Linked DNA regions of Arabidopsis thaliana. The protein of the gene in region 2 purifies or fractionates together with the protein of the main gene of each other region. This does not show direct contact. Each region holds a gene or a part of one and is shown on either strand. Other genes may lie near its edges.

Region 1 (4,460 bases), 3.1 Mb from region 2:
GGACCGCAAAGAATGATGGCCTTTATCTTTGGAATTCTGCAATCGGTGAAGATGTACTGTCGGAGAAATGGAAATCTGGATGGTGAAAACATATTTTTGATTTGTTGGTAATTTTTTAACTATTATATGTATCTGTTAATTTTGGCAGGCAAAAAAAACTGAAGTAATACTTTACTTTTGTCATAAATTCTCTCTTATTTTTTTGTATTTTTCATCGAAGATTTTTGTTTTCTTCGATCGTGTCTTGGATTCAATTGTTTTTGGACTGTTCAAGACAATGGTTTGCTGCTTTATAATCCACCTCATCATAGAGGTTTTAGATTGATATATAAAGGGGATTCACCATGATTCAATTCATTGTTGAAGTCGAGAGATCTTTGAAAGTTTATTCGAGTATAATCCATATTAAAGAAAATTCAACCATGTATTTTGATCACGATATACTAATAATTAATTATCAGTATGAGATTTTATGTATTTGTTATTTATGGGGGACTCATGGGTCAATCATTTCTAAGAAAGTATGGATCATGGATTCGTTTTCGTTCAACTTATTTATGACCATATATACAAGTACTAATGGTGACACTAGAATACATTGTATGACAATAGTCTCTTGAAAACAAAGTCAAAGCATTAAATATAGAGATCGGAGTCAACAATTTAGAGTTTATAGAATTAAAAGGAAAGGAGGATAAGAAGAAGAAGAAGAAGAAAAACTTAGCAAATATATGAACAAATATATAAAGACATTGTAACACATTTACCTCTGACATAAGTTTTTTTACATTTGACAAGAAAGATTTTAGAAAAATGGGAAAATCTTTGCTAAGTTTATTTGTTATCCTCCTTTCGTTTGATTCTATAAACTCTTATTTGATGCCTCCTCTCTTCAGAAAATTCAATGTCCAAATAGTAAATCAACTTGAGTTTCACAAGATACTGAAAGTTCATTGCAAGAGCAAATCTCACAATTTCCCAATCACATATCTTAAAATTGGTGAAAGTTTTCAGTTTAAATTTAAAATTTATCCAAAAACTCAGTATTGGTGTAATTTATGGCAGGTGAGAAAACACATTTTTAACTTTTTTATACATTTCTTTACATATTGTCATGTATAAAAATTAAGATGAGTATCAGTGATTGTACTATAAATTTTTGACCAACTTTTTATTTCATCTTTGTTTGTTATAGGGACCAAATTACAAACACCATGTGGTTTTTGATGCGTTTCGTCCAGACAAAGATTTTATAGATGGTACATGTACTGGTATGCATCCTAATGTATGTAGATGGACTGCAAAAGAAGAAGGAGTCTATGTCCGCAACAAAAAGTTCGAAGGAGAATATTTCATGTATACATGGGATGGTCCATCAAAACTTGGAAACATCTCTCCAGTGTCTGCACCTACAAGTGAATCAGAATTGGACTCATCAGTCTAACCCCACATAGATCTAAAAAAAATTATATCATGATGTATAATCTTTGGTATCAATAATTGTATGTTGGTTTCAATTACAAGCCCAACTATTGTTTGGGCCTAATATTTATATATGGGCCTTAGTCAAAGATTAAAAAAAAAACATTTCTTCTTCCCAAAGCCAGAAAATATCAGTACAAGAGTACAAGAGAGAAAGAAAGGAACCTCGAACTCAGAGAAATTGAGAGAAGAGAGAAGAATCATGGGACAAGGACCATCGGGAGGATTGAATCGGCAAGGAGATCGGAAACCTGATGGTGGAGATAAGAAAGAGAAGAAGTTTGAGCCGGCGGCACCACCGGCTCGTGTAGGGAGGAAGCAAAGGAAGCAGAAAGGGCCAGAGGCGGCGGCGAGACTTCCGACGGTGACTCCGTCTACTAAGTGTAAGCTCCGGTTACTGAAATTGGAACGGATCAAGGATTATTTGTTGATGGAGGAAGAGTTTGTGGCGAATCAAGAGAGGTTGAAACCTCAGGAAGAGAAAGCTGAGGAAGATAGATCTAAGGTTGATGATCTTCGTGGTACACCTATGAGTGTTGGGAATTTGGAAGAGTTGATTGATGAGAATCACGCTATTGTTTCTTCTTCTGTTGGACCTGAGTACTACGTTGGGATTTTGTCCTTCGTTGATAAAGATCAGCTTGAACCTGGATGTTCGATTTTGATGCATAATAAGGTATGTGAAATTAGGGTTTAAGAATCTTGTTTTTGTTGTGATTACGATTGTGTGTTGTTGTGGATTTAGGGTTGCTGATTTGTTTTATGTTAGGTTCTCTCTGTTGTTGGGATTCTACAAGATGAAGTGGATCCAATGGTGTCTGTGATGAAAGTTGAGAAAGCTCCTTTGGAGTCATATGCTGATATTGGAGGTTTAGAAGCTCAGATTCAGGAGATTAAGGAAGCTGTTGAGCTTCCTTTGACTCATCCTGAGTTGTATGAAGATATTGGTATTAAACCACCAAAGGGTGTAATTTTGTATGGTGAGCCTGGAACTGGGAAGACATTGCTTGCTAAGGTTTGTCTTTGTACCTAGAATCTAATGAGTATTAGTGTTTGTTTGCAGTATAGCTTAGTTTACTACTTAACTTGTCAATTACATTCAGTTAATCGTTTGTTCGGTCAAAGGCCAGACCTTTGTTGTGCTGCTGGTCACCTAGATTTCATACGTTTGAACATAGCGAGAAATTTGTTCTCATGGATAAGAATCTTTTGAGTCACTTGTTTCTATTAATGTCTTCCTTTCTCGTTTCTCTCTGTCACAAGCATGAGATAGTTGCAATTTGGTGGTGTTATCTAATGGGAATAAGCTCTCTAACTTGATCTTATTTTAGGCGGTTGCGAATTCAACATCAGCTACTTTCTTGAGAGTTGTTGGTAGTGAGCTGATTCAGAAGTATTTGGGAGATGGTCCTAAGCTTGTGAGAGAACTTTTCAGAGTTGCTGATGACCTTTCACCATCAATCGTCTTCATAGATGAGATTGATGCTGTTGGTACCAAGCGGTAAGTTAAACTATTTTCATAAACCTGATCTATAACCCATTGATAATGGTTATCTGATTACTTGTTGTTTGAAAGAACAGGTATGACGCTCACTCAGGAGGTGAACGTGAGATCCAAAGAACTATGTTGGAACTTCTGAACCAGCTTGATGGATTTGATTCAAGAGGAGATGTTAAGGTCATCCTTGCAACAAACAGAATCGAGAGTCTTGACCCAGCACTGCTTCGACCTGGACGGATTGATAGGAAAATCGAGTTCCCTCTCCCAGATATCAAAACAAGAAGACGTATCTTCCAGGTAATATATAATTCTACTGAGATGGCAAATCAATGACTTGTTCGAAACTTTCTTGTTCATTGAGGTTGTGGGTTCTGTTTATAAAATAGATACACACATCGAAGATGACTCTCTCGGAAGATGTAAACCTCGAAGAGTTTGTGATGACGAAAGACGAGTTCTCAGGAGCTGATATAAAGGCTATATGCACTGAGGCTGGTCTACTAGCTCTCAGGGAGCGTCGTATGAAGGTAGAGACTCTTAACCATTTAGTTCAAGCACATACAAACACACACACACACACCACTTGGGCAATTACTAGCCACTGACGCTAATGTGTTTAAATTGGATTTGTTCAGGTGACACATCCTGATTTCAAGAAAGCAAAGGAGAAGGTTATGTTCAAGAAGAAAGAAGGCGTCCCTGAAGGCCTCTACATGTAAAATTATAATCATATCGTCATCATCGGCTTTCCTCCTCCACACTTTGTTATAATACTTTTGCTTCTGCTTAGGATCTTTCTGGTCATATAAATTGATCATGTTTTCTGATCTCCTCCGGTAAAACAATTCCTCATTTCCATTTAGGATGTCTATTTCGCATTAAACTTAACCAACTGAAACCAAGCCCAAATAAAAAAACTGATCTTGTCACAGAATGTGAGGACAAAAAAAAAACAAAAAAAAATTCTCTCTTCCTTGGCATAACCAACTCTTCAAACTCTCTCTATCCTGGATGCTTCACACAAATTTGTGGAGCGCTTGAAAAATTGTTTCATAAAAATAGTTGTCTATATTTAATTTCGGTAATCTATTGTGCAAACATCGGCTAAATAGTAATTACACAGGTTCTTTTAAGTTTTAACAAATCGAAACTTACTTCATAATGTGAAGAGAGGAGATAATTCAAAAGTTACTAAGTGTCGCTTAGCGCCCATGCGAGACAAATGGTTCTGTAAACGTCAATGTAGCCACCGAACAGGGCTCTGCAAGGGACTCAGCTGCTTCACCGAAGCCTTCAATGGCTCCAACGTTCTCCCTAGCTTTCACAATGTCAAACAAGTTGTTTGGTAGCTGAGCCACACCGTCCAAGAACTGGATGACGCTCGACATGCTTGGTCTGACGGCTGCAACCGGATGCGAACAGAACAAGCCGAGCTTCAGAACCAGTGCTACTTGCTCCTCAAGGTACTTATCATCCT
Region 2 (4,886 bases):
CAGCTACAACTAGCTGTAGAATAATTCCAAAGTTAAAAAAGGTGAAAATACCAAGTGTATTCAAGCCCCTCACTGGGAGGTTCCACCACTGAATGGGCACCTGCTGCCATTGCAGGAGAAACATACGCACCAACCCCAATGATACTGGACGTTGTTCCACCCGGTGCTCCGACTGTTGTCAAAGCTGGACCACTGTTGCCAGCACTACTTACAAAAATTAGACGTCTCTTGTTCACAGCCTAATAAAACATGGCAGAAAGTCCATAAACGCTAGAAGAAAAGCAAAAAATACAAGCTAATAAGTGCTGCCCAAATAAAGACAAAAGGATTTGAATGATACTTCAGTAACAAGATCAACAAAGCGCCCATAGTCTGGAAGTAATGCTGGCTCTCCATAGCTCATGTTGACAAGATCACAGTTATGCTGTAACATTATTATAAAAGTCAGTATATACAAAAAAGAAACATTGAACGTATTGACTTGTGTCAATGCAAACCTCACATATAATAATCCACAAATATATGAAATTCTTCGTGATGTTTAAGTAATTCAAGAGATATACGACTTGTTTAGTTCAAACTTCATACAATATACTTTCACGAAGTTACAAATGATTTTCAGCTAATGGTAAATTCATATCAGCTGATGAATTATTACCTCTAGGGCAGCTATCAATGCCCGAGTCAATCCAGTTCCGGTCTCCATTGAACCTAATCGCGAGTCTCCAATTTTGCAAGATATTATTTGTGCACCAGGTGCCACACCATTTAACAAATGCTCCTAACATACACATAGAAGGTAAGTTAATTGGTTGCAACAAATCATCAATGTATCTAAATTATATAGATGCGTTTTGCACCTCAGGGTGGTGTGCAGTAGCTATTCCAGCAACATGAGTGCCGTGAGGAGAACTATCAGTTACAATGCTTAGAACCTTTCCCTCATCATACACGTTAGCAACAAAGGAGCATGCATCTAGTCGGCTAAACACGCCATACTTCCGTTCAATTCTGTAGTACATATTTGATTGAGATTAATAAAATAAAATAAAAAAATTGGTGAACAAATCATGCTTCCAAACGAAAAGTTCCTGAACTTTCATAAGAGATAGATGTTTAAAGGAAGACTTGCCGGTAGTTAGTCAGTGGGGAGAAGTCTGCTAGTTTCCCGCTATCTGGATCCTCTTCCAGACTCTGTGTATCAAGTGCAACCCTCCATACTTCTCCATCATGCCACACAACAGCATCAATAACAGGCCCTTTGTCTTCATATTTCTACAGAAAAAACAATTGATTTACAGAACAGATTCAAGACCACAGCGAACAAGTACACAGACATAAAACTACCAAAGGGCGGTCTCTAAACTTACATCAGCTTGTTTTTTCAGAAAATCAACTTTGCTTTGGAGGTCTTCACGAGTTTTCTTCAATTTCGCATCTTCCACCTTGCTGTGCTTCTGGAGGCAAGAATGAAAAATGAGGTTATGATAGAATTGAGTAGCACTGTCTAACTCATAACATCTACAATACAGCAAACCACAATCAGCATCTCCCTAGTACCTGATCGAAATCATACAGATTATTTACAGCCTTGGCAATTTCCTCCTGATTCTTTTCATCCCAGGATTTCCTTCTCTCTTTCTGTGTAATGACAAAACAAGTCTTAGCAAATGGGATTGCAGACCAGATATGTAAACTCTGGTATAAGATTTAATGAGTAGATGAAAGTAATCCAACAGCCAAAAAGGTCACAACTCTAATCGCTACCTTCACACGAGAAGTCAAGTCATCTGTAAATAACTGATAAACCAACTTGGAACCTACACGCCACTCTCCAGTGGGATTTTTCCATGAAGAATTGACAACCAAAGTTGCCCCTGTTTAAACAAAAGAAATTATCAACGCATATCGTAGCAAGAAAGAGAAAGCAAACTATCATGCAGAAATCATAAAACCTCTCAAATCACCAACCTGATGCTCCACGAATATGACCATCTTCATTGGCTTTCACCACTGTGGATGTATCTATATCTCCACTTCCAGTGCTAAACGATAACGTAAAATGACCATCACGCCACAGTCAAAGAACACTAAATGCAAAATTCAATTAAATCACAAAACTATACCAGTCAATGACGTCCAAAACCTTGGGTTTTCCATCAGAAGTTACATGCAAGCCAGCAGCAGAAGGATCAAAACCAGAATCTGGAAAACACAAAATTCCATTTGCTCAGTTCCTCAATCAGAATTTTTACTTGGAGAGTTACAACACCTTCTTAAGAACCAAACAATCGCTCTACTATCTGATCCAAGTATAAGCAACCCAACTATAACATAAGGCTTATACAAAACTTCTCCATTCACAAATTCAATCTAGAGAATACAAAACGAGAGAATATCCAAGTACCAAAGATAGCTATAACAACGCCACGACCGTCGTACTCAGGATGAGCTTCGATGAAGCAATCCGCACGGATTTCTTTCTTAGGCATGAGAGAAGCAATAAAGGTAGATTCGTTCAGCTTGAAATTAGCGACAGAAGCATTCTCAGCTCCACCGCCAACGGCTCCACCACCACCTCCTCCGCCACAACCGACGCGAGAAGCCGTAAGAGTATCAGAAGAAGAACAAGGCATCGCCGAGAAACCACTCCGTCTTAATCGGATTCCACGAGAACGAGAGCAGCTTCTTCTTCTGAGTCTTCGATGAAGAAGAAACGTAGAAGAAGAAATGAAATCGCGAGGAAGAGAAAGTGAAGAAGAAGAAGCCCAATAAGAAGTACACGACGGGCCTTTGTTGATTAACGCGCCGTGAATCTGCAGCTGCAGACTCAGATCCATCTTCGGGATGTGTGTTAATTAACAGGGGTATTTTGGTCAAATAACAGCTGAGTCGATGCACCGAATCGTGTCACTCGTTAGAGGTCTTTTGGGTTGTGAATTGTTGTGTCAATGGAGTTGGTGGTGGCTTACTCCAACTGGTGGCTTTCGCTTGCTCTATCTAGATAACGATATTATTTAGATTTAATTTCTTAGTTACATAGTCTTTAATTGTTGTTTTGACTTTTATAATTGGACATAACCTTAATCTGATTGCTTCTTGGGTTTTTGGTCGCTCGTGTATGAGATTGTTCTCCATTGTTGTTGTCTTTAGCTTAATTCTTCGTGGTGAGAATTAAACTAAAAATATGATTAGTAGATTTGTGAGCTGGTTTTATTGTTTTAGGACTGAACATCTGATTTTGATACCACCCATATGATAATATATATATGTTTTTGCTGACTTGTAAATATCATATAATGAAATTGAAGGTATTACAAAGAGCTTTACCTAATGATAGTGCAATCTTGGCAAAAAAGATAAAAAAACAAGATTACAATATATTCAAGAACAACAAAGAAAAGACCGAGCTATCGAATCCAAAGAAGCATGAACTTCCGCCATCTTTTCTTATGCCTTCTACCCGAGATAGCGTTGCGGATATCTCGATCAATATTCTTAAAGATAATTGGAGGAGGGATGATTTGGTTGTTGTGGAGAACATTATTTCTTTGCTTCCAAATATGGTAGATAATATTATCAATATATATGGAAACTTTACATTCACTCATCTGAATTTTCCTAATTTTTTTGTTATGTGTTGTTTGTACATTTTGAATATTGTACTTTATTATCTGTTTGTTGTAGTCTTGTAGAGACTAGAGATTGATCAGTTGATCACACTTTGTTCCTATATGATTAGACTGAGCAATAGCATAACTTATTTGATAAAGTTAGGACTACCACATTTGATTTGTAATTAACTATTTTCTTATACGGTATGTGAGGTCTGTGATCTGTCAGACTAATTGAAATGGCTAAAACTTGTGTTAGTTATGTCATGTGGATATATCTGAAGAATCCCTGAAAATGGGGGTATAGTATAGCATCATTTGATGACAGCAAAATTCAAAAGTCATGAAGCATATTATAAGATTTGTGTGTGTTTCGGTCTCTACCAACAATCGTTGTTGCTTTAAAGAAAACCTTATAGATATTGCTCATAGGTATATGCATGCATTTGTAATGGGAGTTTCGAACACACAGCTGAATCTTAACAGGGATCAGTGGGGTTGATAAATTTGATATTATTAGAAAGCTTCTTGAATCTTTTAAACTTGCTTACTCAGATCCCTCACGTTCAGAAAAATTGGACGGTTATTGTGTTCTTCTCATCATGGGTTTGCTTTCTAGCTTCAGCTATATCTAATCAAAATTTTGACCCTATTTTTTCTCGTTGCCTTTTTTTGGTATGACATATATATCCAAAACAAGTGCAAAAATCTTGATTCGGATTAGGTGTTTGTGGTTGTGAGAGAAGTACAACTACGAATCTATTTGTAACACTATATCATTCAAATATTCAATGCATCACCAAATCAAAGACTTCCAGAATGTAAGAACGTTGACACGTTTTTTGAGCAATGCCATAGAGTTGACATCAAGCATGACGACGTTAACGCTTCATTTCTTTTTTTAAAACTTATTTATAATCTTCCTCCTAAGTGAGATAAAATTGTATTAATATAAGACGTCATTTTTAAAATCCTTTGAATACAAGAGTATGGGACATTCAATTTTCTTTGTTTCATACTAGCAACTTGATTATATATTTTAATTTGCTCCAGCTATGTATATAACGCTTACAAGTTTTATACAAGGAAAACTATGTATTTTAAGAATAAAAGTGTGGAATTTATACACCGTTTGTGTAGGTTTTAAGCGTAAGTCAGATTGTTAATCTAGAAAATATTGTTATCCAGAAGAGTGAAAGACCCAATAAACTTGTAAGTGTAAGTGTTACTCATTCTGTTTTATAAAGTTTATGTATATTAATTGAAGATTGT

Evidence for each region.
Region 1: the proteins of TPP2 (region 2) and RPT2a purify together in Arabidopsis thaliana (affinity purification with mass spectrometry; 2 studies listed by BioGRID, with this or other methods). This does not show direct contact.

What each region holds. Positions count from the first base shown.
Region 1 is NC_003075.7:14,310,685-14,315,144, forward strand, and holds RPT2a (regulatory particle AAA-ATPase 2A), read left to right. Parts: upstream 1-1,598; 5' UTR 1,599-1,684; coding exon 1,685-2,158; intron 2,159-2,251; coding exon 2,252-2,497; intron 2,498-2,813; coding exon 2,814-2,983; intron 2,984-3,063; coding exon 3,064-3,280; intron 3,281-3,369; coding exon 3,370-3,510; intron 3,511-3,618; coding exon 3,619-3,702; 3' UTR 3,703-3,916; downstream 3,917-4,460. Other genes in the region: AT4G29035 (Plant self-incompatibility protein S1 family), read left to right, coding at 1-86; AT4G29037 (plant self-incompatibility protein S1 family protein), read left to right, coding at 814-1,065, 1,196-1,444; AT4G29050 (Concanavalin A-like lectin protein kinase family protein), read right to left, coding at 4,186-4,460. UniProt on the Arabidopsis thaliana protein: The 26S protease is involved in the ATP-dependent degradation of ubiquitinated proteins. The regulatory (or ATPase) complex confers ATP dependency and substrate specificity to the 26S complex.
Region 2 is NC_003075.7:11,167,050-11,171,935, forward strand, and holds the start of TPP2 (tripeptidyl peptidase ii), read right to left. Parts: upstream 3,023-4,886; 5' UTR 2,841-3,022; coding exon 2,408-2,840; intron 2,206-2,407; coding exon 2,127-2,205; intron 2,046-2,126; coding exon 1,972-2,045; intron 1,878-1,971; coding exon 1,768-1,877; intron 1,642-1,767; coding exon 1,561-1,641; intron 1,458-1,560; coding exon 1,371-1,457; intron 1,276-1,370; coding exon 1,133-1,275; intron 1,012-1,132; coding exon 861-1,011; intron 782-860; coding exon 659-781; intron 425-658; coding exon 341-424; intron 240-340; coding exon 52-239; intron 1-51. UniProt on the Arabidopsis thaliana protein: Serine protease of the proteasome pathway that may function with the 20S proteasome to degrade oxidized proteins generated by environmental stress.